7 linked regions of the Cricetulus griseus genome follow. The protein of the gene in region 6 interacts with the protein of the main gene of each other region in a pairwise test. Links are inferred from orthologs where the notes say so. Each region holds a gene or a part of one and is shown on either strand. Other genes may lie near its edges.

Evidence for each region.
Region 1: the proteins of protein N-terminal glutamine amidohydrolase (region 6) and Jup interact in binary tests that used the Homo sapiens proteins (3 or more experiments, as listed by UniProt). The two-hybrid records come from large-scale screens. The link is inferred for Cricetulus griseus from reciprocal best matches to the Homo sapiens genes NTAQ1 and JUP.
Region 2: the proteins of protein N-terminal glutamine amidohydrolase (region 6) and Tollip interact in binary tests that used the Homo sapiens proteins (3 or more experiments, as listed by UniProt). The two-hybrid records come from large-scale screens. The link is inferred for Cricetulus griseus from reciprocal best matches to the Homo sapiens genes NTAQ1 and TOLLIP.
Region 3: the proteins of protein N-terminal glutamine amidohydrolase (region 6) and Ppcdc interact in binary tests that used the Homo sapiens proteins (3 or more experiments, as listed by UniProt). The two-hybrid records come from large-scale screens. The link is inferred for Cricetulus griseus from reciprocal best matches to the Homo sapiens genes NTAQ1 and PPCDC.
Region 4: the proteins of protein N-terminal glutamine amidohydrolase (region 6) and Pnma1 interact in binary tests that used the Homo sapiens proteins (3 or more experiments, as listed by UniProt). The two-hybrid records come from large-scale screens. The link is inferred for Cricetulus griseus from reciprocal best matches to the Homo sapiens genes NTAQ1 and PNMA1.
Region 5: the proteins of protein N-terminal glutamine amidohydrolase (region 6) and Eif2b1 interact in binary tests that used the Homo sapiens proteins (3 or more experiments, as listed by UniProt). The two-hybrid records come from large-scale screens. The link is inferred for Cricetulus griseus from reciprocal best matches to the Homo sapiens genes NTAQ1 and EIF2B1.
Region 7: the proteins of protein N-terminal glutamine amidohydrolase (region 6) and Capn3 interact in binary tests that used the Homo sapiens proteins (3 or more experiments, as listed by UniProt). The two-hybrid records come from large-scale screens. The link is inferred for Cricetulus griseus from reciprocal best matches to the Homo sapiens genes NTAQ1 and CAPN3.

What each region holds. Positions count from the first base shown.
Region 1 is NC_048600.1:113,438,299-113,441,798, reverse strand, and holds part of Jup (junction plakoglobin), read left to right. Parts: intron 1-110; coding exon 111-312; intron 313-1,141; coding exon 1,142-1,286; intron 1,287-1,676; coding exon 1,677-1,780; intron 1,781-2,887; coding exon 2,888-3,226; intron 3,227-3,500. UniProt on the Homo sapiens protein: Common junctional plaque protein. The membrane-associated plaques are architectural elements in an important strategic position to influence the arrangement and function of both the cytoskeleton and the cells within the tissue.
Region 2 is NC_048596.1:59,291,283-59,294,782, forward strand, and holds part of Tollip (toll-interacting protein), read left to right. Parts: intron 1-2,563; coding exon 2,564-2,713; intron 2,714-3,294; coding exon 3,295-3,477; intron 3,478-3,500. UniProt on the Homo sapiens protein: Component of the signaling pathway of IL-1 and Toll-like receptors. Inhibits cell activation by microbial products. Recruits IRAK1 to the IL-1 receptor complex. Inhibits IRAK1 phosphorylation and kinase activity.
Region 3 is NC_048597.1:169,043,918-169,047,417, reverse strand, and holds part of Ppcdc (phosphopantothenoylcysteine decarboxylase), read left to right. Parts: intron 1-3,384; coding exon 3,385-3,500. UniProt on the Homo sapiens protein: Catalyzes the decarboxylation of the cysteine moiety of 4-phosphopantothenoylcysteine to form 4'-phosphopantotheine and this reaction forms part of the biosynthesis of coenzyme A.
Region 4 is NC_048598.1:119,613,726-119,617,687, forward strand, and holds Pnma1 (paraneoplastic antigen Ma1), read left to right. Parts: upstream 1-1,162; 5' UTR 1,163-1,828; coding exon 1,829-2,890; 3' UTR 2,891-3,617; downstream 3,618-3,962.
Region 5 is NC_048597.1:104,284,476-104,288,667, reverse strand, and holds the start of Eif2b1 (translation initiation factor eIF-2B subunit alpha), read left to right. Parts: upstream 1-1,392; 5' UTR 1,393-1,489; coding exon 1,490-1,502; intron 1,503-2,191; coding exon 2,192-2,293; intron 2,294-2,666; coding exon 2,667-2,803; intron 2,804-2,905; coding exon 2,906-3,022; intron 3,023-4,192. Other genes in the region: Gtf2h3 (general transcription factor IIH subunit 3), read right to left, coding at 1,299-1,311.
Region 6 is NC_048603.1:29,486,347-29,490,576, forward strand, and holds the start of protein N-terminal glutamine amidohydrolase, read right to left. Parts: upstream 2,801-4,230; 5' UTR 2,697-2,800; coding exon 2,608-2,696; intron 1-2,607. UniProt on the Homo sapiens protein: Mediates the side-chain deamidation of N-terminal glutamine residues to glutamate, an important step in N-end rule pathway of protein degradation.
Region 7 is NC_048599.1:58,022,642-58,026,701, forward strand, and holds the start of Capn3 (calpain-3), read right to left. Parts: upstream 2,801-4,060; coding exon 2,492-2,800; intron 1-2,491. UniProt on the Homo sapiens protein: Calcium-regulated non-lysosomal thiol-protease. Proteolytically cleaves CTBP1 at 'His-409'. Mediates, with UTP25, the proteasome-independent degradation of p53/TP53.

The sequences.
Region 1 (3,500 bases), on a different chromosome or scaffold from region 6:
AAGAATGACACTTTAGTAAAGGGATATTTGCATAGGGGTGATGATTGGGGGTGAGCTTTCTGACTGGGGTCTGGGGAGCTGACTCAACATGGATTCTGCCTACTCCTCAGTTCTCCTGTAGAGTCTGTCCTGTTCTATGCCATTACCACGCTGCACAACCTGCTGCTGTACCAGGAGGGCGCCAAGATGGCGGTGCGCCTGGCAGATGGGCTGCAGAAGATGGTACCCCTACTCAACAAGAACAACCCTAAATTCCTGGCCATCACCACTGACTGCCTGCAGCTCCTGGCCTATGGCAACCAGGAGAGCAAGGTGGGTCCCTTCACCATGGCTACAGTATCCAGTGGCTTCAGGCCACTTCCCGGAAGGCATACTAATGTGTATATAGATGAATGTGTCTCATATCCTGTTTCTGAATTCCTCAGAACTAATATTTTAAGGTTTGAGAAAAAATTAGGGCTAGGGATATAACTCAGTGATAGAATACTGCCTAGCATGCTGAATGATTCAATCCCTAGAATTGAAAAAGGCTGGGGGATTGGGGTGGAGAGATGGCTTGCAGTACCCATGGCGGCCAGAAGAGGGTGCTGCATTCCTAGAGCTGGCATTACAGATCGTTTTAAGTCGCCATGCGAATGCTGGGAATCAAACCTAGACTCTCTGGAAAAGCAGCGAGTGCTGCTAACAGCTGAGCCATCTCTCCAGCCCTCTCTGTGTGTTTTACACAGGGTCTCACTATCTATCCCAGGGTGACCTGGAACCCTAACTCTCCTTGTAGTCTTCTAACTGCTGGATTAGAGGTGTGGAACACCAGAGCCAGCAGGGCTAAAGGCCTTTTTCTTTTTATTTATTTGTTTCTAAACACTTCTAGACTTTTACTCAGTGTGTTTGTTCTCTTTCCAAAAGGGTTACATCGTGTTACCCATTACACTGCCTTTAGTGACAATGCTGTGCTAGACTCCCTTTGCTAGATCCTTGCCAGCATTTGGTATTAATAGTTTTTTTCCCCAAGATATTGGCTTATTTGATAGTCACCAAAGTCTTAAAAGGTTAATAATGAGAGCTCCATCACCCCCTCACACACGTGAACACATAGGTGTGTGAGCCTGTTATCCTACACTCTGCCTTTCCCTCCCCACAGCTGATCATCCTGGCCAATGGGGGACCTCAGGGGCTTGTGCAGATCATGAGGAACTACAGCTATGAGAAACTGCTCTGGACCACCAGCCGTGTGCTCAAGGTGCTCTCTGTGTGTCCCAGCAATAAGCCCGCCATTGTGGAGGCTGGTGAGTGAGAACCTCAAGGTGGCCTGTTGGGGACTAGAGAGGTGACCATAGCTTAAGAGCTCTTGCTACTTTTCCAGAGGACCTCAGTTTGGTTCCCAGTAACCACATTCGGTGACTCACAACTACCTGTAGCTCAAATTCAAGGGATCTGATGCCCTCTTCTGGCCTCCATGGGCATTGCACATCACATTACACAGACACACAGACACACAGACACACAGACACACACACGAATAATAATAATAATAATAATAATAATAATAATAATAACCCTTTAAAAGTAAAATTATAGAGGAGTGACCTGTGGGGTCAGGAGGATTGGGGTAGGGCCCCTGCCCTGGCAGCAATCTGGCCCCCCTAAGGCTGACAGGACCTCTGTCCCATCCCCAGGTGGGATGCAGGCTCTGGGCAAGCATCTCACAAGCAACAGCCCGCGCCTGGTGCAGAACTGCCTGTGGACTCTACGCAACCTCTCAGATGTGGCTACCAAGCAGGTAAGTCTGGGCCCGGGCCATTCTCTGAAACCATATTGTCAGCCTACCACCTGGGCATATGACCTCGGGGACCTATGAGAAGAGGAAGGAGGCTGACATCTTTAAGTTGGGGTTCAGGTGATGGTGATGGGACAATTTGAGCCTTGACCCTGGGACAGGAGCAGTACTGTTCCATAAAACTCAAGTACAGGGGCTCAGTGGTTAAGAGCATTTGTCTGTATCTCTAGTTCCAGGGCATCTGATGTCCTCTTATAGCTTTTGAGAGCGCTAGGCATACACACATGGTGCACAGATATACAGGCAGTCAAAACACTAACCTCACAAAATACTAACACACACAAAACACTAACCTCAGAGCACTGCTGATTCAGGGCAAGTTGCTGGCACCACCTTCCAAGCAGACTGTATCCATGTGTTTACCCATCACCACCACCTAGCAAGCACCCTTCATTCTGCATGGCTTCTGTAGGCAGGAGCTGAACTGACTTTAACCCTCTTAGCTCCCTAGAAGGGGATCCTGCAACCCCATTGGTTGTGGGAGAAACTAAGGCTCAGGGAGTTAAGAGAAAGCCCATGTTGAGAGCTATTAGATGGCAGAGCTTGCGTCCTGACCCATGACTGTGTGTATCTCTGAGACCGATAGTCTTTTGGATCCACCACTAGACCCACACAGCCCTCCCTGGGAGAAGAGAGGTTTCTGAGTTGGGGATTTTTCTCAGAAGCAGATTTAGCTTAGGGATCCCTGGTGTGACAGAGAAGACCCAGCCAGGTGAGAAGTATGCGACAGGGGACCAGCTGACCACTGAAGCCTATGACCTCCTTGCTAGCTTCCTCTTGACCAGAGGCCTCCTATGGCCAGCAGGGATGGAGCACATGGGATAGAGGAAGGACCATGGGCTTGGAGGCAGGCCTGCAGCTGTGGGTCTGTGGGAAGATCTCCAGGAGAGGCTAACAGCTTTCCCCAGGGCGTGGAAGGCCATGGGGTGAAGGTTCCTGGCCACATAAAAGCAAGACCAAGCCCTTCAGCCTATCCGCTGCCCTCAGACCTACTGGGGAGGCTGTGTAGAGATGACGTGTTCCTTACGCTTCATGCTCTTCCTGTCTCAGGAGGGCCTGGAGAGCGTGCTGAAGATCCTGGTCAACCAGCTGAGTGTGGACGATGTCAACGTCCTCACCTGTGCCACAGGCACCCTCTCCAACCTGACCTGCAACAACAGCAAAAACAAGACGCTGGTGACACAGAACAGTGGCGTCGAGGCACTCATCCACGCCATCCTGAGAGCCGGTGACAAGGATGACATCACAGAGCCTGCTGTCTGTGCCCTGCGTCACCTTACCAGCCGCCACCCGGAGGCTGAGATGGCCCAGAACTCTGTGCGCCTCAACTATGGCATCCCGGCCATTGTGAAGCTGCTCAACCAGCCCAACCAGTGGCCACTGGTCAAGGTACCCACTAAGGGCCAGGACACAGGAGACCTAGCGCACTGGCTCAGAGAACAGGAAGGAAATACCACTCCCAGCACTTTCTACTTTCACAATGTCTGCTCCAGAGACCTAGAGTTCTTTTGCTTACCTGGTTGTTGCTCTATTTGTTTTATTCTTAATTTTTAAAATTTTGTATTAGAAGACTGGAGAGATGGCTCAGTGGTTACTCTTCCAGAGGTCCTGAGTTCAATTCCCAGCAGCCACAGGGTGATTCACAACCATCTGTAAAAAACAA
Region 2 (3,500 bases), on a different chromosome or scaffold from region 6:
GGCATCTCCGAGTACCTTGCCTTTGACCATCTCTCAGGCTGCCCTGGGGTTTTTTAGAGGAGGTACATTATTCGGGAGTGGTGTTTCACATCCCTTGCTTGAATGATGGTTCACCTGGGTGAGTTAGCTTTCTCTACCATAAGGTCATTTTTCTACTCTTTAATAACACAGTTAAACTCAAATTGTTAAAATTTTCCTTTCTTATAATTTTACGACTATATCTTATTGAAAATAGCACATTTGAATTTGATCTTTTTAGGGCAAAAGTATTAAACCTTTGAACCTACTACATTGTGCATGCTTGGCAGTGCACTACCACAGAGCTATACCTCTAGCCACATTTTATCTTAACCATCCCCCACCTCAATAGTCTCTTTCTCTTTAATGAAAGCCTGAAAGAGTATAATATGAAAATCTCAGTGTCTGAAGGTCTCAGTCCCAAGACAGGGACAGATAAAAAAAAAATTTTTAAAAAAAAGCTCTGACTTGCTCCACATGGCCTTTCCTGACCTCCATGTTTGAAGCTGTCCCCATGACTGCCTGTATCCTGACCTATCACTGTAATACCTACTGGCCTGTCTGCCCTCCTGGGTATATCCCTAGGAGACACAGTTGTGCCCTGCTATGACCCTAAAGCTGTAATATATGATATACAATTGTTAGTTACTCCTATGACAAGTAAGAACTTGACCTATGTAGGTTAATCCCAAGAACCTGGCTGAAGAAAGTCTGGTTTTGCTAATCACCTATTTATGATGCATAGATAAAGTTGGTTATACATCTTGGAGGTACACTCTCTAAATTCATTGCAGCTAGCACAGGTGTGAGCCTGGAATCCCTCCGGAGGGACCCAGTGTTCCCTGTATACCATAGACACTGGTTCTTGGCTTCTTGTGCCACAGCCCTTTCTTGGTTCTCCCTAGACTCTCTGAAACTCTGTGTGATGTGCCTTGGAAAAGGCTGTCCATCCCAGAGAGACTTTGGGAACTCTGCCTCTCTTGGTAAGAGATGGTGTCACTGGCCACAGCTACTTTCCAGGAAGCCTCTGCCTGTGAGAACCTGGCTCTGGACTGAGTGACCCCAGAAGTGCAGAGGGGCATGCTGCTGAGTAGTTACCAGTTTACCCCTCACAGACCATGATCCTTACCTGACAGTGGTTTCTGTTTTTGTTTGTTTGTTTGTTTTTGTTTTTGTTTTTGTTTTTAAGTTAGAGGAGAGCAATGGGAACATCATTAGACCAACTGCTCAGGAGTGGCCCACACAGAACTCTGGGCTATATCCTTGGTTGGTTCCAAACTTCTGACTAGTCTGTATTTTCTGGAAACACAGAAATAGGGAGTTAGTAAGAGCCAGACTAAGGGATCCAAGGACTTTTGCTTGCTTGCTTTATTTTTTTGACACAGGATCTTGATGTATAGCTGTCCTGGAACTCACCATGTAGCCCAGATTGGCTTTGAACTCACAGTACTCCCCTGCCTTAGTCTCTTAGGTACTGGGATTGCAGGAGTGAGCCATTATAACAGCCTTTTTCAGGGACCTTGAAAAGAGCAGCCAGACCCCTCGAAGACAGGTGCTGTGAGCTGAAAAACCTGCAGAAACTGGAGGCCTATGTGATGCATATCAGTGGGAGCCCACAGCTAGGTAGGATAGGCAGTAGTGTGTGCAATGGAGGTAGTCAGGGCCACAGAACCTGGTTACCCAGCAGCTCTTAGTAAATTTACTTTATTAGAGTTCACATTTGTGACATTGGTACTTCTTTGAAAGTATGTGGCAGAGACCTGTGCATGATCTTAGGTACGTGGGTGGTCAGATGGTTTGGTGCTCAGGCCCTTCCTCCCGTGGGCTTTTCAGCCTGCGGAGCTTCATCTGCTGTTGTTTAATTGTGAGCATTTCCTCTATGTAACCCTCAGACCTGTACCCACTGGGCAACAAGCAGTTCTGCCTTCTGTTGGGGCACCCTGGTTGAAGCAATAGTTGCTTGCTCCCAAGGCTGCCCTCACTGGTCCTTGGCCCTCCTATCTTGGACCCCAGGCAGGTATGCCATTTCCAACTCGTGTTTTCTTTCTGGGAAGCCCTGGTTCAGCATGTATTCCTGTGGTCTCCCTCTGTTGTAGGTTTCAGTTGTCATCTCATAAGAATATGAACCTTAGCCAGGGCCACTATTAGGAGTTTTAGATAACCTTTCCTTTTGCTCTCCTATTTTTCTTGAAAAACTGTATTTTCTAAGAGCCCACCAGGTCACCCTCCAGCCCTGTTTGCCAGCCTTTTCAGTGACTGAGATATGTCCTAAACCTTCCAAGGGTTTTGTCTTGAGCATCCTCTGAATAAGAAGGTATGCATCTTCAGGGGAAGCAAGCTCAAATGAAGACAGGCTGGAAACTCTTGTGGGTGAAAAAGCAGGCCAAGCACTCTCTAGGCCTTGGTGAGGGGAGGGTGAGCTGGACTGGGCCTGAGTAAACACTGGTCCAAGGGAAGTAGGCTAGTACTGTGAGATTGTTGGCTACATGCTTTGACTTTATTCTGTTTTTGTTTTGTTTTGTTTTGTTTTTATCTTCACTGAAAGGTGTACATTGGTGAACTCCCCCAGGACTTCCTCCGTATAACACCCACACAGCAGCAGCAGCAGATCCAGCTGGATGCCCAGGCAGCCCAGCAGCTGCAGTATGGAGGAGCAGTTGGCACTGTGGGCCGCCTCAGCATTACTGTAGTACAGGTGGGTCTCAGTTTCCTGTTGAAGACTGATGGGGCTGTGCTTGAGTGTGGGAATGAAGATTTCAGCCTTTGCAAATCATTTACCATGTAGACAAGTAGAACTTTGTTGATTCTAGTTATTCCTGAAAATATCCCTGAAAAAATCAGTAGATCCTTGTTGGTTTCCCAGGGATCTGACTAAGATACCTACAGTCACTATTGGTCCATGCTAGGTAGTGTCCTCCATGAGGATGGTTTCTCTAACCCCTTTGTAGCAGCTGGGTTGTACAACTGCCCTGCAAACCATGGTTCCTGATTAATCTAAACTCCATTCTGAGGCCTAGGATGTGCACAGTTCAGGGCACAGTTAGATTAGAGATTTTGTCTAAGTTGCCTGCTGCCAGGTGTGGCCGGGTTCCCAGAGTTGTGTGAGTTTAGCAGTGACTGGCACCATGCTCAGGAGCCAGTTACTGATAAGGTTAGGTGAACTTGAAGGCTGTTTTTTCATGCTCTAGGAAATACCTGCGAGGTAAGTAGTTTAGGTAAGAACTTGCCTTCCTCTCTGCTGGTGGGTGCCTCATTTTTCTAAACTTGTTATTTCAGGCAAAATTAGCAAAGAATTACGGCATGACTCGAATGGACCCTTATTGCCGTCTTCGTCTGGGCTATGCTGTTTATGAAACTCCCACAGCACATAATGGTGCCAAGAACCCTCGCTGGAATAAGGTCATCCAGTGCACGGTGCCCCCAGGTGTGGACTCGTTCTACCTTGAGATCTTCGATGAGGTGAGGGATGTCCCAGTGTCACA
Region 3 (3,500 bases), on a different chromosome or scaffold from region 6:
AAAAGCCCAACAGAGACAGATGTTGGGCTCAAGCTGAAGATCAGGGAAGCAAAGCAGCCAAGGTACCAAAGAGCTCTTACCTCTAACAGGGCTGGGGTGTTCCTATTCTCAATATGGCTAGAGAATGAATGCCTGATACTGAGACCTTGCTCCCGTCTTATATACCTTCCTAATGTTGGGATTAAAGGTTCTGAGATCATCTTTGTGTGAGCTGTTTCTCTTTAGAACTGGATCAATCTTGTGTAGATCTGGGTGGCCTTGGACTCACGGAGATCCATCTACCTTAATCCTGAGTCCTAGGGTTAAAGGTGTGTACCACCATCTCCTAGCTTCTGGCTGCTGGGATTAAAGATGTGTATCACCACTGCCTAATCTCTATAGCTTGAGACAGACTTTGCTTTTCTGAATCCTCAGGCAAGCTTTAATAAATCATAAACACTCTATCACCATAGGCCTTCATGGGCAGCAGGCACACATGTGATACACAGACATACATGCAGTCAAAACATCCACACATATAAAACAAATATAATCTCATAGCCCAATGGCCTTGAAATCCTGATCCTCTTGCTTTCCCTTCCCAAGTGATGGGATTGCAGGCAGGGCCTAAGAGCTTGGCTTTTTTCCCCCCAGGCTGCCACACTCCCTATCTTTGAGGTTCTCTTCTCCAGAATTGGCTGAACAGTGGAACATGTCCCCAAACTAACCATTTCCTCAAACAGTTTGACCTGAGCACAGATGTTGCAGACAGTTCTCCGGTGTTGCAGTTTGAACTGTAAGCATCCTTGTGGGGCTACCTTCTGCTCAGTGGGTGTCTTAGAACCCTGAAGGGAAGCTCAGCCCACTCCCTCTTTCCAGACCATCCTGTCTCCAGCATCAGAAAGGTGCTGGAGAGCAGCTGTGTGTTGTCCTGCATTCCTTGTCTCCAGGCCCACAGCCTGGAAATGTCTGTCTCCGTCTGCTCTGGCCTCGCCTCTGTGCTAAACTGTCAGGTCCAGAAAGAGGGGGTGACTCCCCAGGGTTACAGTCTGGCTCAGTGCTAGTCTCTTGACTAGGATCCAGCCTTCTGCCCTGCCTGAGTGGGTTCCCAGGGGCCAGGCTGAGACACTGAGCACAGTGCCAGCCCCTTGGCTGTGGGAACCAGTGTTCTTTCTCTCCCCTTCCTACTGCTGGTTGCTTCAGAGGAGCTGTGGTTTGTTCTGGAAGTGCTGAGCTCCAAGTCAGCACTGGGGAAGCAGCCATGCCGAGGGCAGACAGTTGGGTGTTTGCTGTGGTCCCGGTGCTGTGCTTTGAGAGTGTTTAGAACCCAACCCAGCCTGCCCTACACCAGACATCAAGGCCCTTCTAGGCTTGCTCACAACTTCTGCAAAAGTAGCAGGTGGCACAGAGCCAAGGGGAAGTGTGACTGAAATTGTCCACTAATAGCCAGGTTGTCCTGCTGAGAGGAGTTGGTGGGAAACCAACTCTGGTGTCTGGAATGACGCAAGCAGCCAGATTCTGAGGCTGTTTGCTGTCCCAGGAGAGGGTAATGGCACTGAGGGACAGGCAGGCACTGGCTCTGACCTATGTGTTGCATTGCTCTCTGCTCCCTTCTCCTGTCCTGAAAGGACTCTATTTCTGGGGAGGGGTGTCACAGTTGCTGTCTCCCCAGGAGCTTTCGGGAGGAGGTGCCCGGTGTAATCTGAGCATAGGAGCCTATTTCTCTGGGAGGTGGTCCCTGGCTCCTGAACCTGTGCCTGGGGTAATGGAGGAGCCTGTGTGTGGAGCCTGTACTTAGTGCTAGGGTCTCAGCTAAGAACTTTGATTTGGGTCACCCACCTCTAATTCCACCAACTAGGTAAGCAGGGGACCAAGAGTTCAAGGTCGTCTGTTACATAGGCAGTTCAGGCCAACCTAGACTACACAAGACTGCCTCAAAAAACCACCATACCACATCACCATCAAACGTATTCATATTCTTTCTTATTTTTATTTATTTTGTTTTTTGAGACAGGGTCTATGTAGTGCTGTCCTGAACTTGCTGTGTGGACCAGGTTGGCTTCAAACTCAGAGAGATCAGCATGCCTCTGCCTCCCTGGGGCTAGGATTAAAGGAGTATGCTAGCATGCCCAGGTTGCCCTTTTCTTTCCTTTTCTTCTTTCTCTTTCTTTCTTTCTTTCTTTCTTTCTTTCTTTCTTTCTTTCTTTCTTTCTTCCTTTCTTCCCCTCCCCTCCCCTCCCCTCCCCTCCCCTTCCTTTCCTGTCTCCCTTCCTCCCTCCTTTCTTCCTTCTTCCTTCCTTTCTTCCTTTTTAGACAGAGTTTCTCTGTGTAGTCCTGGATGTCCTGGAATTTGCTCTGTAGACCAGGCTGGCCTCAAACTCAGAGATCCACCTGCCTCTGCCTCCCAAGTGCTGGGATTAAAGGCATGAGCCACTACTGCCTGGCAGTTCTTTCTTTAATACATTATATATTATATTTCTTTAATATATATATATATATATATATATATATATATATATATATATATATACCTGTTACATGTCCTGAACTTGAGATTCCTCTGTCTCCAGAGGACTGGGATTACAGGCATATGCCATCCTACCTAGCATTCAACTATGGTTTGATCTCAAGCTTATATGAGTTCAGCGTTTACAACCTTAAGACTCTGAGTTGGAAAATAGGAAGGGAGGGAGGGGGAGAAAGGGAGGGAGGGAGGATGGATCTGAATTGGTCAAGTTCTTTCATAGCTGCTCTGCTGTGTGACTTGGGTGTAGTCTAGCTTTGGGAGGTGGGGAGACAGTAGTCCAATGGGTGGTTGCACAGGACCATGTGTGTATCTAAGAGTGACCTTGGATAACTGTTTATTTGTTAGGGAGTTGCAGCTTGCTCGTCTGTGAACAAGGGGCAGTACTTTTATAGGGTTACGGTAAGGGAGTTGAGATAATGGCTGAGAAAAGGTATCATGTGTTGGATGTTTTCATTCTCAGAGTCTATTTGGCCTAGGAGTAGAGCTGTTGCTGAGTAGAACATGAACAATCTGGTTCCTAGCCTTCCAGTGATAGTGAAACTAGCCTCCTGCCCCCTGGGATTGCTTCCCAGCCCTGCAGTTGTGAGCCCATGTGAAGGCTTAGGCAGGGAGATTGCATTCAGAGTGGAGATCTGTTGGTGGTATCTGGGGCATCATGGGTGCTGATTGAGTATCCCCTGTGTCTAGGACCATGCCAGAGCCTGAGGGGAGATGATGTGGGCTGAAGAGTCAGCCCCTCTCCCTTTAAGGATGCAAAAACATATCTTTGTAGATGTGTGACACCCAGCCATCCCTAGTCAACTGTTTTGCTGTGACTTGGGGGTACTGAAGAGGAGTGGTAGGCAGAGCATCAACACCTCTCTCCCACTTCTTCACAGACCTGTGTCATCCGGGCCTGGGACCTCAGCAAGCCCCTACTCTTCTGCCCTGCCATGAACACCGCCATGTGGGAGCACCCTCTCACTGCACAGCAGGTGGGCCAGCTCAAGGCCTT
Region 4 (3,962 bases), on a different chromosome or scaffold from region 6:
ACACGTTTTCTCTGTATTGTTTTGGAGGTTGTTCTGGAACTTGCTCTGAAGACCAGGCTGGCCTTGAACTCACAGAGATCCGCCTGCCTCTGCCTCCCGAGTGCTGGGATTAAAGGAGTTTGCCACCAATGCCCGGCGCCATATTCTTTTTTTTGTAACGATTTGTTTATTTTTATTTTATTTGCATTTGTGTTCTGTGTCTGCATGTGTATCAGTGTGAGGTTGTTAGATCTTTGGGAACTGGGGTTACCGACAGGTGTGAGCTGCCATGTGGGTTCGGGGAATTGAACCCAGGTCCTTTGGAATAGCAGCCAATGCTCCTAACCAGTGAGCCTTCTATCCAGCCCCCAATGCCATATCTTTATAGGGGTGGGGTTTGTGTGTTTATTTATTTATTTGATTTTTTGAGGCAGGGTTTCTCTGTGTAGTTTTGGAGCCTGGCCGGGAACTCAATTTATAGATCAGGTTTGCCTTGAACTCACAAAGCTCCTCCTGCCTCTGCCTCCCGAGTGCTGGGATTAACGGCATGGGCCACCAAGGCCCGCCTGATTTATAGGGATGTTTTTGCCAGCTGGGATTGACAGGCCTTGCTTGAAGAGAATTTACCCTACCTTTCTGAGCCTTAAGCATTCTCTTTTGTTATCCTGTATACTCAGTAAGATCAAGAAATGAAAGTGTTTGCAGTTTGCCTGGCTACAAAGAAGTAGCAGCAGCAGCATTTTGTTGGTTTTTTTTATATATATATATACAAAATTTAGGCAAGAAAGCATAGTAAGTCTCACAGGAACCTGGAGATGGCATTCTGTCTTTTGCTTTCCTGGGGAGGAGCAAGCAGCAGCTGTGGTGTGTGGTCAGGAGGTACGCAGAAGTCAGAGTGCTGAGTGTTTTCATGGGCTGCATAGTGAATGCATAAGCTGGATGAGCAACATGAGACAGACAAGTCTGTCGTGGTGGATGCGTATCAATAAGGCCAACTTAAATTCACAGCAAAATTAGATTAAGAAAAAAAGAAAACGATGCTTTGCAATATTTATTGTTAAGAAAGAAGCTGGGAAATACGTGTGTGTGTGTGTGCGCGCGCGCGCGCGCCATCACAAAATAGACTCCTCAACCCCTCGGTACCATAGCAACCGCCAGATCCTCTGGAGCTCGCGCATCTCCCGTCGTCATGGATACGGTTGCCACGGCGACACTGACGAGCGGACCGGCCCCGCCCTGCACTGCAGCTGCACGGCGGCGGCCGTTGCGGGAGCGCGCTGCTCTAGACGCTGAGCGGAGCTGCCTCCATCCGGCCTCCCGCCTTCCGCGCCTCCCTGAGGCCTCCGTCCCCGGTGCTCGCCTGCTGCCGCAGCCGCCGGACCCGAGTACCGCCTCTCCCGGCGTCTTCCCAGCCACTGCCTCGCGTGACCCTACGCCCGCGCCTACCGCCGGCCGGCCGGCCCGAGAGCGGCGGGGGGGAGCTGCCACACCCCGCGACCGCACCCGGCCGTCTCCCTCGTGAAGCTGAAGCCCACCGCCTTGCGCCAACCTTGCTTCTCCCCTGCCCGCCGTGAGGCCACGAATAGCTGCGGCCAGCCCGCACCTGCTCGGACCAAAGAGGGCGACATTCGATAGGCAGAGTGCCCCGAGGCACCTGACACTACTGACTTTGGGACCCGGAAGGGACGAGACTGGACTCCGGTGTCACTGGTAATTGTGGTTGCTTGAAGCTTGTCGCCCCCTGGCCTACCCGGGGGAGGGAGGCATGTTGTATTGTCCTAGGTCCTATAGCACTGCGAGCCAGTCCAGTCGGTGTCTGTAGAACTGGCACCCTTAATAGTGGGGCGAAATGGCTTTGACGCTCTTGGAAGACTGGTGCAGGGGAATGGATGTGAACTCTCAGAGAGCTCTGCTGGTCTGGGGGATCCCTGTGAACTGTGATGAGGCTGAAATCGAAGAGACCCTCCAAGCTGCCATGCCCCAAGTGCCCTACCGAGTACTGGGGAGAATGTTCTGGAGGGAAGAAAATGCGAAGGCAGCCTTGTTAGAGCTCACCGGGGAAGTGGATTACTCCCTGATCCCTAGAGAGATGCCAGGCAAAGGAGGGCTCTGGAAAGTGTTCTTTAAGCCCCCCACTTCTGATGCGGAGTTTCTGGAGAGGCTGCACCTCTTTCTAGCTAGGGAAGGGTGGACTGTGCAAGATGTTGCTCGTGTGCTTGGGTTTCAGAACCCTGCTCCCGCTCCAGGCCCAGAAATGCCAGCAGAGATGCTCAATTATATTTTGGATAATGTTATTCAACCTCTTGTTGAGTCCATATGGTATAAGAAGCTGACGCTATTCTCTGGGAGGGACATTCCCGGGCCTGGCGAGGAGACCTTTGATTCCTGGCTGGAGCACTCGAATGAGGTCATAGAAGAATGGCAGGTGTCTGATATAGAAAAGAGACGGCGGTTGATGGAGAGTTTGAGAGGCCCTGCTGCTGATGTCATTCGCATCCTCAAGACCAACAACCCAGCCATAACCACCGCGGAATGCCTGAAGGCTCTTGAGCAGGTGTTTGGGAGCGTGGAGAGCTCTAGAGATACACAGGTCAGATTTCTGAACACTTACCAGAACCCCGGGGAAAAGTTGTCATCTTACGTCATTCGTCTGGAGCCTCTGCTACAAAAGGTAGTGGAAAAGGGGGCCATTGATAAAGATAACGTGAACCAGGCTCGCCTGGAGCAGGTCATCGCCGGGGCCAACCACAGTGGGGCCATCCGAAGGCAATTGTGGCTGACTGGGGCTGCGGAACGACCGGCACCCAACCTCTTCCAGTTGCTGGTGCAGATTCGAGAGGAGGAAGCCAAGGAGGAGGAAGAGGAAGCTGAGGCAGCCCTTTTGCAGCTAGGCCTGGAGGGGCACTTCTGAGTCCCTGGATCAGTCTGGCTGCTTTTGTTATCCCTGTGCGGTTTTACAAGCCTTGCCTCTCATAGTAAAGACCTAGCCTCCTGTTTTTGTTTTGTTTTCTGGGGGATGGGATAGGGGAGTCAGGCCTGCGTATTTGTGTAGCAGTCACAGAATTGCGTGATTGGCCAGGGCTGCAACAGTAGAGGTGGTTCATACTGCCTAAAATGAATGCTTGATGCAAGCCCTCCTAGTGACATCTTTGACAGTTGTGAAAAATGTGAAGCTGAGACACTTCCTGTCAGGATGATTGTGAAAGTGCAAGCCTGCTTCACAGGCTGTATGGTACAGACTGACATTTGTTACTAATATTGTGGATAGTTTTACTGTACATTGTCCCTAATTTATATACATGGGAAGAATATGAGTCTGTTAGATGATACTGCTCATTTTGAAAATTCAGATTTCTCATTCCTCACGGCTCAACATCAGAACCAGTTTACCAGCAAAGTACTCTAGGATTAAAATTGGCAAGTTAGAAAAATGTGATTTTTATGAAGAGGCACAACCTACTTTTCATGGTGTAAGATACAAATATAAGTCAGGGGGAATTTCCATAAACAAGCTACATTTTCCCCACATGAATTATTTGTCATTTAATTATTGGTCATGTTGATGCTAAGTGTTCTAAATTTGAAGTTATCAAATAGATGTATACAAATAAAAATGTGAAAATTCTCATCTTGCTTTTCCTGACATGTATAAAAAATTTTCAGTGTAACTTAGCTCTGCACATTTTTTCTCTGCACATTTTTGCTCATGTCAAAAAATTTTTTAATCTCCTTGCTATGAGCTTAAATTGCAATATCACCTACACATTCTTGTGTTGCCGGTTCCTCGGTTATTGTTTTGTTTCTTTTTCACGGTCCCACTCGATAGCTAGCTGAGGCTGGCTTGGAATTCACTCTGTAGCCCAGGCTGGCCTCAAACTTGTAGCAATCCTCCTGCCTCCAGCCTCCACAGTGCTAGGGTTACAGGTGTGAGCCACCTCACCCAGCTATTTCTTTTAGATACAGTCTCACTATCTAGCTCCGGC
Region 5 (4,192 bases), on a different chromosome or scaffold from region 6:
CTCCTACCTTCCTTCCTGCATCCCCTGCTCCTTCTTAAGAATCACCCTGCACCTCTGGTTTCTGCAGAACTAAATCCTACTTGCTCTTACTTCCTTTCTAGTACCAAGTAGCTTGAGAAAGAAAACAATGGGTTGCCTGTCAGAAACGTGCACATGAAACACCTCTGCCAATTTCCTTCAGCCTGTGCCTCATTGGCTAAGAAGCCATGGCAGGCCTGCCTTTCTCACAGAGGTGGGAGTAACAGCTATGGTTGCTGAATGCACCTCTCTAATTACTCTTGCCCCCCACAATCCATTCTTCACACAGGAGTCAAAGTGATGCTTCTAATGTTATCCATCTAGATAATTCTGGGCCAGCGAGAGGGCTCAGCTGGTAAAGGCGACTGCTGACAAGCCTGAATGAGTTCAATCCCTGAGACCTAAACAATCAATAAGAGAACTATTCCCACAAGTTGTCCTCTGATTTCCATGAGCATGCTCGAGTGCACACACACACACTAATACTAAATCAGTAAATGCAAGAATCATTGGGAGGAAATGTAATTTAAAAGCTGTAACTAGTAGCTTAGAGTATGAATAAGAGCCTCCCACCTCCCTCTATCCTCCAACTGCCCAGTTTACTCTTCTAGGTTTAACCTCCCAGGATGTCTGTACTTTAAATGAACTTCATAATGTCGCTCAAGCCACAGTTGTAGTGTCTCCATCTTTCCTGAACTCCTAACGAAAGATAGTCCTCTTGAACTTAGTTGCCACACATCTGTCTTCATAGCCCTGGTGGCCTCTTGGAAGTAATTTCACCTGCCAATTGCCTCTCTCGACCCTAAGACACTACACACTCAAAACTTTCCTGTGTTGAGTTCTGTGCTGTAGTCTCCAGTTTGGAAAATAGTGTCCAGTACACAGGGGGCAATCCCATTATTCGCTGAATGACACACTGGGCATGCTAATGCGGGCCTGTAATCCCAGAACTCGGAAGGCTAAGGCAGGTTGAGCGAGCGTCTATATAAAAAATAATTAGGGCTGGGGATGTGGCTCAATTGGTAGAATGCCCATTGAGAATGCACAAAGGTCTGAGCACCACGTAAAATCGAGCTTGATCGGGCACGCCTGTAATTCCCTGCACTCCAAAGCAGACTGGAGGATCAAGAGTTCAAGGCCATCCTTCAGCGAGTTCTACGTGACACCCTGTCTCAAAAATGAAATCGCTGAGTGAATGGACGAATACACTGGCTGCTCGTCTAAAGACCAAACGCGTCCCTCCCAGCCATGCTCCGCGTTCCGGTCCGTGCCACCCTCACCGTCAGCAGCCATGGCGCCCCTAAGCCTCGGAGAAAAGCCGCCCACGGTTCGACGCGCGCACGACAACTTCCGGCGCTGGTGAGTGACGTAAGCCTCAAGCTGGCGGCAACGGAAATGATGCGTGAAGAGCGCGACACACTGTCAACCTGTGGCTTGCTGCCGGCGCGGTTGCGGGCTGCGGGAGGGAGCGATGGAGGACCACGGTGAGTGGGTGGCCGGAGCGGCGGGGACACACGGGTAGTCCGGGCTCGATCCGCTTCCTGCTGTCACTGCTCTTTGTGCCGTGGTCTGGGCCTCTCGGACGCTCGCAAACTGACTTCCCCACACGCTGTCCGAGCGTCCACTTCCAAAGTAACAGTGTGCAGGCCTCCGCAGCTCTGGTGTCCAGAAGGAAGACGCGTTTCCCTACTGGAAGATAGAAGGCATCTTTGGTTTGCTTGCCCATCATGGTTCTCAGAATGTTTTTGTTAAGTGAAAAAGCAAACGAATACACTGATTTTAACGAAAAAGTGAAGTAGGTAGAACTGTAAGCATTTTTACAATTGTGTTTATGCACATGAGTTAACGATTGTAGACTGCTCAAAGGCCTGCAGGAGAAAATAATAACGGGGCTGTGAGGATTCCCTAGACTACTAGCCCCTGGACTTGGTCTCTAAGTTCTCTGCCTTGCACACCAATAGCTTGTTTAAAATATGAAAGAGGTCTGTCCCTGCCAACAGTACGGAATCTTCTCTATCCCCGTCATTGTTTAATGTGCCCTGTAACTTTAAAAGCTACTTTAAAAAAAAAAACCTTTTTGCTTCTTATTCTTGAGGTCAGCAGTTGTTACAAAGTGCCCTAGCCTCATCTTGCTAAGTTCTTGTGATAACCCATTTTTTTCCTCTCTTCCTAGAGTTAATTGAATACTTCAAGTCTCAGATGAAAGGCGATCCTAACATGGCCTCAGCTGTAGCTGCCATCCGCACTTTGCTGGAGTTCTTGAAGAGAGACAAAGGTATAAAGAGTCAGCCTTGAATGGTCTGGGCCTTAGGACAGTCTTCAGATGACTTGTAGGAACGTGGACAGGGAGACATGCATGTTTGCCTACAGTCTCAAGCTCAGCTTCTGTCTCCATGTTCGCCCTTTCAGTCTGGAGGGAGCCCTCAGGCTGTCACTTAAAGGATTCCCATCCACCTACAAAATACACTGGGAGTCAAGAGTCAACAATACAGCCCTAGCCAAAAGGCTTAAATTATAGCAGTAATTTAGCTTTATAGATGAGAACCAAGCTCCTAGCTTGACCTAGATTCTGTGCAAATGCCATAGAGAATGTTCAGAACAATTCTGGTGTTTCTGGGCTATAGTGGTGCCTCACTTCATCATTGCAGGGGAGACACTCCAGGGCCTGAGAGCGAATCTCACCAGTGCCATAGAAACCCTATGTAGTGTGGACTCCTCCGTGGCCGTGTCGTCTGGTGGAGAGCTCTTCCTTCGATTCATCAGTCTTACCTCCCTGGAGTACTCTGTAAGCCCCCCCCCCCCCCCGGAGGCCCTTCTACTTCTCTGTCTACAGATCCTGTCAGCTTTCCTGGGATCTCCCCCCTTCATTTTGCTCTTTTCTCCCCAGGATTACTCCAAATGTAAGAAGATCATGATTGAGAGAGGGGAGCTTTTCCTCAGGAGAATATCCTTGTCAAGGAACAAAATTGCGGACCTATGCCATACCTTCATCAAAGATGGGGCGGTGAGTAGATGGCCCCCTTGTGCTGATAGAATCAAAAGCTTTGGAGTCAGGGTGCTGGGCCTGAAATCCTGACTGTGCCACCATGGACAAGACACTTCTCTGTCCTGCAGTTTTCTTGTCTGTTAATAAGGACAACAGCAGCTGACAGGTTTGGTGAGGCACAAATGAGATGCAAAGTGTAGGCAGTGCTCTGTAAACACAGGTACTATAGAGGCCAGTTACCATGAATAGGAGAAGAACATGGGACCAACATAGATGAGTCTTGAGTTTAATTTTTTTTCCGTTTTGTGGAGGTGGAGATGAAAACAAGGGCCTCAAGCATGCTAGACATGCTGTACCACTGGACTATAACCATAGCTTCTTCCTTAGTAAGCTATTTTTCTAAGAAGTATTTTTAATTACATTTATTTCTTTATTAGGTGTTTGTGTGGGTATGCACAGGTGCCACAGTGAGTGTGTGGAGGTCAGAGGAGTTGGCTCTGGGGATCAAACTTGGGTCATTGGGGTTATGTTAATGACAAATACCTTTACTGACAGAGCCATTTCACCACTCTAAAGAAGTGTTTTTATAGCCAGGCAGTGGTGGCACACACCTTTAATCCCAGCACTTAGGAGATAGAGGCAGGTGGATCTCCGGGAGTTTGAGGATCAAAGCTCCACCAAGAAAGCCTGTCTCAGAAAACCAAAAAGAAAAAAGAAAAAAAAAAAAAAGATGTTTTTATGATTGGGTTTGTAGTTAGTCCTCTAATCTGAAATGAGTCTGACCAGACCAGCTATTACCATGGTCATTGTCATGCATTTGAGCCAATATCAGCACTGGGTGGAGCTGTGACCTATCCCTAGTCAAGTGAGGAATGGCAGGTTCAGCCAGTCTTCAACTTGTCCACTCCACCGGGTAATAAAGCCTTCATGTTTTCTGAGCCAAAAGCACAGCCTTCCCCCACCTCAGCCTCCGCAAACCGTGCCTATATTTCTTGCATTATGGTTCTTAGATGTTGCCCTTGGCGTTACTGCATTTCCCACCTTTGAAGTATGCTGTTAAATATGTGACTTACTGGGAGGTGGAGTTGGGTTTGTGTTAATGGCAGTGTCAGACAGACCTGGGCCAAGTGGAGGCACAACCATGATACTACTCTGCTCAGTGTGTGGCCGTGGTGTGGGTTTCTCGCC
Region 6 (4,230 bases):
TAGAGAAGTGTTTACCTGTCACAACTTGGGGGGTGTGGGAACCTGGCAATAGCATCTGTCTGATACAGGCCAGGAAACGTAATTACCTACCCTAAAACTCATGGAACAAAGGCTTGATACTCAAAATGCCAACAGAGCCAAAGCTGAGAACCCTGCAACAGGCCAGAGAAGGTAAGTTCAAAATGAGGTTGGAAAAACACAGGCCTTGAACAAATAAACCAGACAGCCACTGATACTCAGATGGACTTTGTTCCCTATCTCTAAGAGTATCCCACAAAATAGGATCAGCAAGCCTGGCATGGTAGCCCAGGCCTTTAATCCCGGCACTCAGGAGGTGGGGGTGGGCATAGCTCTGTGAGTTGGTGGCCAGCCTGGTTTACGTAGCAAGCTTTAGGACAGACAGTGAGATCCTGTCTTGGGGGTGGGGGGGGGGGCAGTTTGGAGAGATGACTCAGCAGTTAAGAGCACTGGCTGCTCCTCCCAAAGACTCAGCCCACTAGCCTCCTTGGATACCAGTTATACATTCAGTGCATGGGCAGATACACAGGCAAAACACCCATACACATTATAAATAAATAAATGAACAAACAAATAAATGAAATGAGAGACGAGCAAAGCATCCTTCTAACCCTCCCACCCCCCACTCTACTTCCTGTACATCCACACTCCGGGTAAAACCCTAAGATGGACAGGTTTTTCAAGCTCACAGATGATCCCTCAACTTGTCCTGGTGATAATGATCATAGAACCTGTCTCCAAGGCATTGCCTGTGGGTCACGAGCCCTTGGGGTCGTCTATCAGATATTTACATTATGATTCGTAACAGTAGCAAAATTACAGTAGCAACGGAATACTTTTATGGTTGGGGGTCACCACAGCATCAGGAAATGTACCAAACGGTGGCAGCATTAGGAAGGCTGAGAACCACTCGGGGCACTTGGACTTGGGCTACCAAGGTGACAGATGAATAAACGTTAAGTTCGTAGTGTCATTGATTGAGTGGCCGGGTGAAGGGGGGAGGAGTAGATTTGGATGACCCTGAGGTTTCTCCTGGGTTGGGGAAGAAGTCCCTACACAAGAGAAAAGGTGTGGAGATGAAAAAGCCAAGGTGAGCGGCGAGCGGCAGCCTAGGACAAGTAGCCTCACAACCTGAGGCCCTGAGTAACAGCCATCCCGTACCTTGTGCGCCTCAGAGTTCTTTTTTTTTTAATTTTAAAATAATATATTTAACTTTATTTTATGCACACTGGCATCAGAGCCCCTGGAACTGGAATTACAGACAGGTGTGAGCTGCCACGTGGGTGCTGGGAACTGAACCGGGTCCTCTGGAAGAGCAGCCAGTGCTCTTAGCCAATGCGCCATCTCTCCAGCCCCCTCAAGGTTCTGACTGCAACAGTACCTGCCTCTTGGGGGTTGCTGTGGCGTTCAACCAAGTCCATTTACACAAAGCACCTAAGATCACGCTTGGCATCTGGTGAGGACAAGGACGAGGACGGTGCAAATGCAACCATTACCACCACCATGATCACCACAGTGCTGTGATGATCAGGACAGCGCTGTCTGCTGCCTGACTGGATTTCCCGCCACCTCAAACTCTGGGTCACATACATGGTCCCCTGGAGAAGGGGAAAGGGTCATGATCCCCTGAGTAAATTGAGAACATGGGAAGGGGGGGGGAGCTACGAGAAAGAGAAGGGAAGAAAAGGAAGGATGCAGAGGTCATGAGGGAGCAGAAAGGTTGAGTCAGGGGAAGAATAGAAGAAAGGACATGTGATAGGTAGGGTTTTAGTTGGGGGTAGTGGGGGGGAAGGGAGGGAGAAGGGAACTGGGATTGTCATGTAAAACAATCTTGTTTCTAATTCAAATAAAAAAATGATTAACATTAAAAATTTAAAAAAGAACCCTCTGTCCAACCATTCTGAGTGAGGTAACCCAATCACAAAACGACAAACGTGGTATGTACTCACTCATATGTGGATTTTAGACATAGAGTAAAGGATTACCAGCCTACAATCCACACTGCCAGAGAAGCTAGGAAACGAGGAGAACCCTAAGAGAGACATTCATTGTCCCCTGGAGAAGGGGAAAGAGTCAAGATCCCCTGAGCAAATTGAGAGCATGGGAAAAGGAGGGAAAGGAGCTATGAGAATGAGAAGGGAAGAAGAGGAGGGATGCAGAGGTCATGAGGGAGCAGAAAAGTTGAGTCAGGGGAAGAACAGAAAAAAGGATATGTGATAAGTAGGGTTTTAGTTGGGGGGGTGGTAGGGGAGGAGGGGAGGGAGAAGGAACTGGGATTGACATGTAAAACAATCTTGTTTCTAATTCAAATAAAAAATCTGCAAAAAAAAAAAAAACCAAAAAACAAACTCTGGGTCTCCGTTGTCTTCAAGATGAAAAACGCCCTGCACTTGGATCTGAAACCACGGGGACCTCAGTCTGTCCCCAGGCACTGGGGACGCCTCCGCTCAGCTCCGGGGAGCAGGGGTGCGCTCGCCCCCTCCTCCCGCGGACGGTGCGGGCCCGCAGCGCTCCGGAGAGCGCCGGGACGGGGAAGCATTTGGCGGCGCCCCGGGGGCCCCGCGCCCGCGCCCGCGCCCGCGCGCTCACCAGTAGCAGCTGCTGTAGACACACGCGTCCCGCGCAGGGCAGGCCGGCTGGTACTGCGGGACCGAGGCGACGGGGCCGTCGCCCTCCATGGAGGCCCGAGGGACAGGCACCCGACCCGCCGGCGGCAGCGGCGGCAGCGGCGGCACAGCACACACTCGCCCCGGGCGGAGCGCACACGGCCCGGACCGCCCGCCAGGCGCCGTTTCCGGGGGGAAGGGCTTAGAGCCGGTGGGCGGGGCTCAGCGCGCCATGGGGGCGGAGCCCGGTGTTTGTGTGTGTGCGTGGTTCCGGGTGGGCGGGGTCTCTGGAGTGGGTGGAGCCCGGGCTGGGGGCGGGGCGGGGCTGCGGGAGCTGCTGCTGCGGGCGGCGAGTCCCAGGCTGCGGAGGAGATAGATCTGTGTGCTGCTCGCCCGGCTTTACGAGGTGGGAGGCAGGGTGGGGTCCACGGAGAGGCCTCCCCCGGCCAAGCTGGGGCGCTCGCGCTGCGCTGCGTGGACCTGGTCGCCATCGGGTGGGGGGTGGGAGGCCTGGTGGTGTTGGACGGTCAGGTGTGAGCTTCCTGACCCCCTTCATCCATCGCTGAGGCTGCCAGCCCGCTCTAAAATAAGAGATGCTTGGGCGTGAACGCTGAAGTTTCACAGCAGGAAAAAACTAGCCGAGGGGTTGCACCCAAATCCCACCATAGTGTTGTTTAATTTCTTCCACTTTGGGGTATTTATCTGTGCAACCTTTTATATAGGAAGAAAGAGATGCTTGGGCATGAAAGCTGAAGTTTCAGAGCAGGAAAAAAAACTACTAACCGAGGGGTTGCACCCAAATCTCACCACAATGTTGTTTAATTTCTTTCAATTTTGGCTATTTATATATGCAACCTTTTATATAGAAAGAAAGAGATGCTTGGGTTTGAAAGCTGAAGTTTCAGAGCAGGAACCTAGAAAGAGGAAAAAAAAAAAAACTAACCGAGGGGTTGCACCCAAATCTCACCATATTGTTGTTTAATTTCTTTCAATTTTCGAGTACTTATATATGCATGTGTTTATATATAGAAAGATAGACTGATCTAGTGAGTGCACAAGTTCTAGCCAGGTGTGGTGCTGGGTAATCCCTGCATGCGGGAGACTGAGGTGTGAGGATGGCTTTGAATACAAAGCCAGCCTGAACTACATAAGAATTTTTCTCAAAAGAAAAAAAAATTAAAGAGTCTGGGTAGCATTCTGTATTAATTGTATTTATTTGCAGAAGGAAAGACACCAACATTGTCAAAACAGTGTTTATGCACAGTGATTGAAGGACATAGAGAACCGTCTCTTTAGATTTCCTAGTTGCCTGTGTTTGTAATGAACATGTGTAACTGCTCAGGGAACTTACCTACAAAGAGAGAGTGAGAGAGACAGAGAAAGAAACTGTACTTCTTAAGATTGGTTTATAGGCCTAGGCCACCCACAGACTCTCAACCTCAGTTCCAAAACCCATAAAGTGCTGTGCTGGTGGTATATTGGTGAATGTAGCTGCCTTCCAAAACCCATAAGTCCTTAAAATAAAATAAACATGTGTTTGTGTCTGTTACCAATTTATTGCTTCGGCTTCAGCTTGAATATTGGCTTCAAAAGAGGCTCTGTGCCA
Region 7 (4,060 bases), on a different chromosome or scaffold from region 6:
TAGACCAGGTTGGTCTTGAACTCACAGAGATCCACCTACCTCTGCCTCCCAAGTGCTGGGACTAAAGGTGTGTACCACTACTGCCTAGCTACAGCTTTACATTTCAGAAAGTTCTGGAGTCATTTCAATTTTCTAATTTCAATTAATTTGTGTGACTCATACATAATCCTTTGTACTTTCTGGACCATAATCATGTAAAGTGAAGAGCTTGGATAACAAGTGCATGACCCATTCCAACTGCCCATCTCTAAATCCATCCTATAATTTATGTTAATAAATACAAGGACGTATGCGCCAGTCTTTCCGTTTGTATGTACACTTGTATGTGTGCCTGAGTGTATGAATGTGTACCACATGTGTGCTGGAGCCTGCAGAGATCACAAGAGGCATCAGATCCCCGGGAACTGGGAAAACTATACAGTGATGAGCCACCACCTGTAGGTGCTAGGAACCAAATGAACCATCTCTCCACCCCCATGCCCTGATCTTTCTTACACACAGGCATTTTAATCAGGAGGTTGGAAAATTCAGGATCTTTGATGTTGGTGATGGTGGTAGGGGCTCAGTATCAAACAGCCAGGTCTCTTGGAGCATAATGGTTCATATGTGCTGAAAGGACAATGTATACATGGGATGACTGTCACTCCCAGAGCACTGCAGGATATATATATATATATATATATATATATATATATATATGTGTGTGTGTGTGTGTGTGTGTGTGTGTGTGTGTGTGTGTGTGTGCAAATCTAGCTTTTAGAGTCAAAGCTATCAGTGATTCCAGTAAGAACAGTGTTTTGTTTGTAGGTTTTGCTCCCTTTGTCCTTTGAATAGTATTATACAAGTAGGGGGCCCCCTACTTTGGAAAGCAGGGCTGTCCTGTGTCCAACCCTTAGATGTGGGTTTTTATTTGCTATCATCATTTGTGTACTGTTGTGCTCGGTATATGTGCTGTGTCTACAAATGGTCAACAACAGATCCTGCTCTCAACACCGGAGGAAGAGGCATTTGAGCAGCTGTGCAGTGAAAGCAAGGACAAATCAATCAGCCAAACCCTGGAAAGGCACTGCAGCCAGATGTTCAGCTGTAGCATCAAGCCTGGGGGAAGAGGGTGAAGGTGAGAGGCCAGCATATGCTAGCCTGAGAAGGGCTGCTGCTCAGCTAAGACTTGCTACAGGTCCAACAGGGGTGCGGCATGTCTAAATCCATTGGGTTGCCCACCCCCACGGCTTGGATGGAATCTGAGACCTCACACACACACAAGGTGTGTGCCGAGCTACACCTGGCCCACTGCAGCATTCTCTTCTAAACTGAGGACATTTATGACAGCCATGATGGGCCTTACCAAAGGGCAGCGGAAGAGGAGAGGAGCCTGGTGACAGCTCTAGTTGGTAAATAGAGAAAAACATGACCAGTGAATCCTGTGAAGAGCCTAACATTACTTCTTCATGGAAGTTTTCTCTCCCCAGGCATGACCTGCTCTTTTTGACCCTGGCCACTCTGAACACTGAGTCCTGACAGTCACTCTTAACTCATTGCCCAACCCCTTAAGACTCCAGGCTTCACGATGGTAAGTTTTTGTCACTTACTCATGACTGTCTTAGTAACTTGCTTAGTGTGTGAAGCTAGCAGACATGCAATAAGTATTTCTTTCTCTCTGTGATTACTTTTTCTCATCTATCTATCTATCTATCTATCTATCTATCTATCTATCTCCTATCTACGTTTTAGCAGTGCCAGGGATGGGACATGTGGCCTCATACATGCTAAGCAGAGTTCTACCATTGAGCTCTACACCTAGCCCCAGATTATTTTGTGACTAAAATGTTTCTTGCATCAAAAACAAAAGTCACATTGAAAGCATGATCAGAGAAGGGAAGACGGGGGAAACATAATTTTCCCTCTGGTGGATCCCTGTAAGTGAAAGCCTGAGGCTAGCGAGGAGGGCTTCACCCAGGCCCTGTCATGTGCTGGATCTATTTCATGCTGGCCCTTGACTTCCTAATCTATGCCGTGAGGTAAACAGACAAAAATTCTTCTAAGCCCAGTATTCTGTGTTTGAAAAGGTAGTCTTTGTTCTGCTCCTCTTTCCCTGGCTTCCCTGTCTCAGAAATCTGTGGTCACAGGCAAACATCTCATGATTTAGCCCGAGAAATGGAAGCAGTCTCAATACATTTAGGCCGAGAAAGAATCTCTGCACATTCTAGAACTGGTTCTGGGGAAGGGATGGCCATTTTATTGATGAATTAGGGATCCAATTACTTTCATGAAAAGCAGAAAGAGAGAAAGTGAGAGAGAACCAGCCCTGCCTGCTGTCTCTTGGACTTGACCCTGTCCTTCCCTTTCCACACTTGCAGTCAGAGCCCAGCAGGCCTTTGCCAGGATCCTTCCCCCGGTGCCCATGTGCACAGCTGTGCTTGGGGAGGTGCTGAGTGGGAGGACTTCTCTGAGGGCAAACTCTAGCCAGCTACAAAACCAGTACACTACTCACCGGAGGTCTCTTCCAGACAAACTGGATGGGGAACTTCTGGCTATAAAAGAGAGAGGTCTCGTCTGGTGGGAACTCAGGATCCAGATAAAGAACTTTCTTCTCCAGACACTTTTTGTGGAGCTGCTCAAACGTCTTCTCTTTCACTCCGATAATTGGAAAATTGCGGCTGATGATAGCTGAATAGATGCCACTTGGGTGTCCACCTCCAGCCTCGGTGGTCTTCCCTTGGGCTGGGTGAGGACCAGGTCCTGGGGACCTGGGCTCAGCTCCTGTCCTTGGGGCCACCGTTGCACTAATGACGGTCGGCATGGCAGGCAACTTTGGAAGGAAGATGTTTTCAAAGAAAACAAGATTCAGCTACCTTCAAGGGAAGGAAGCTATCGCAAAGCGGAAGTTAAAGCGACCCTCTCATCTGAGAGTAAATGGGCAGATTCACTTCAAAGTTTAAATCCTATCAGAAAGCTGGCTGGCTTATGACCAGCTTAAATAGCAGAGCTGTGATCCTGAAGCCATAGGCGTTCCTCAAGAAGAGACACTAAAGGGTTTCAAAGCGGTTTCTACCTGGGGGCTCCTACCAGCAGCATGCTTGCCAGAGGGAGAGAAAGAGAGTGAGGGTTGTGTTTCAGTAGCCTGAGGAAGCTTAAGCCAGGAAAACTAAAAATAGACATGAAGTGAAATGGTGAGCATGAGATCAAAGGCCAGCGAATGGCTAGACTGGGTGGGAGAGAAGGACCTCGCTGGGTATTTCTACACTGACATTAAGCACTTTTGTTGTCAAAAAAGGAGAGCATCTGAGACAGGTGAACACCAGAAATCAGAGAACTGTGCTGAGGACTAGGCAGCCATACAGGCTACCGATGCAGTTGCCACCGGATGGATGCACAGGAAGCAGTATTTGAAGAGCTAGCTGGAATCCAAGCCACGAGAGCTCTCAGGGCATAGTCCATATGTTTTAGAGAACGTGATTTTTACTTTATAAAATGTTAGTCTGTCAAATGTCACTTAATATTAGAGTATCTTTTCTAGAATGTTCTGGAGTCAGTTTTCAGTTCAACTGGGTAGAAAATGCTACTCAGCAGAATTTTCAGTCAAGGAAATCCCTCTCTTCCCAGGCACTGGACTTAGACACCCCCTGCCTCTTCCTACCCCCAAATACACACTGAGATCAAGACTACTACAAAATGTGTATCCTAGAAGATTATTTGTGTAGCCACACCACATCAGTATCTAGACAGAAGCTGGAAACAGATACTGAGCCAGGTTGGTGTCAAGTCCAAGGATGCCATGTCTAGACTCGGCTTCAGGGCTTTTAAATGAGAATGAAAGCAGCCGGGGAAGGGGATTGCTTGCTGGGATTCCACCTGTTTTTTACCCATGTTAGTTGCCCTCCATGTCACAATAAGATGGATACATCTGAAGTCTGGCTGAGTAGAGACTTGCCTCAGCTTGCAGCTGTGCCTATTCCTAAGTGACCAGCTTAATAGATCCAGGTTTAGAAGACATGGGAAAGGGTAGGAAGTGACAGCTGAGTGCCACATAAGTGTGAGGATCTGAGTTCCCAGTAAAACT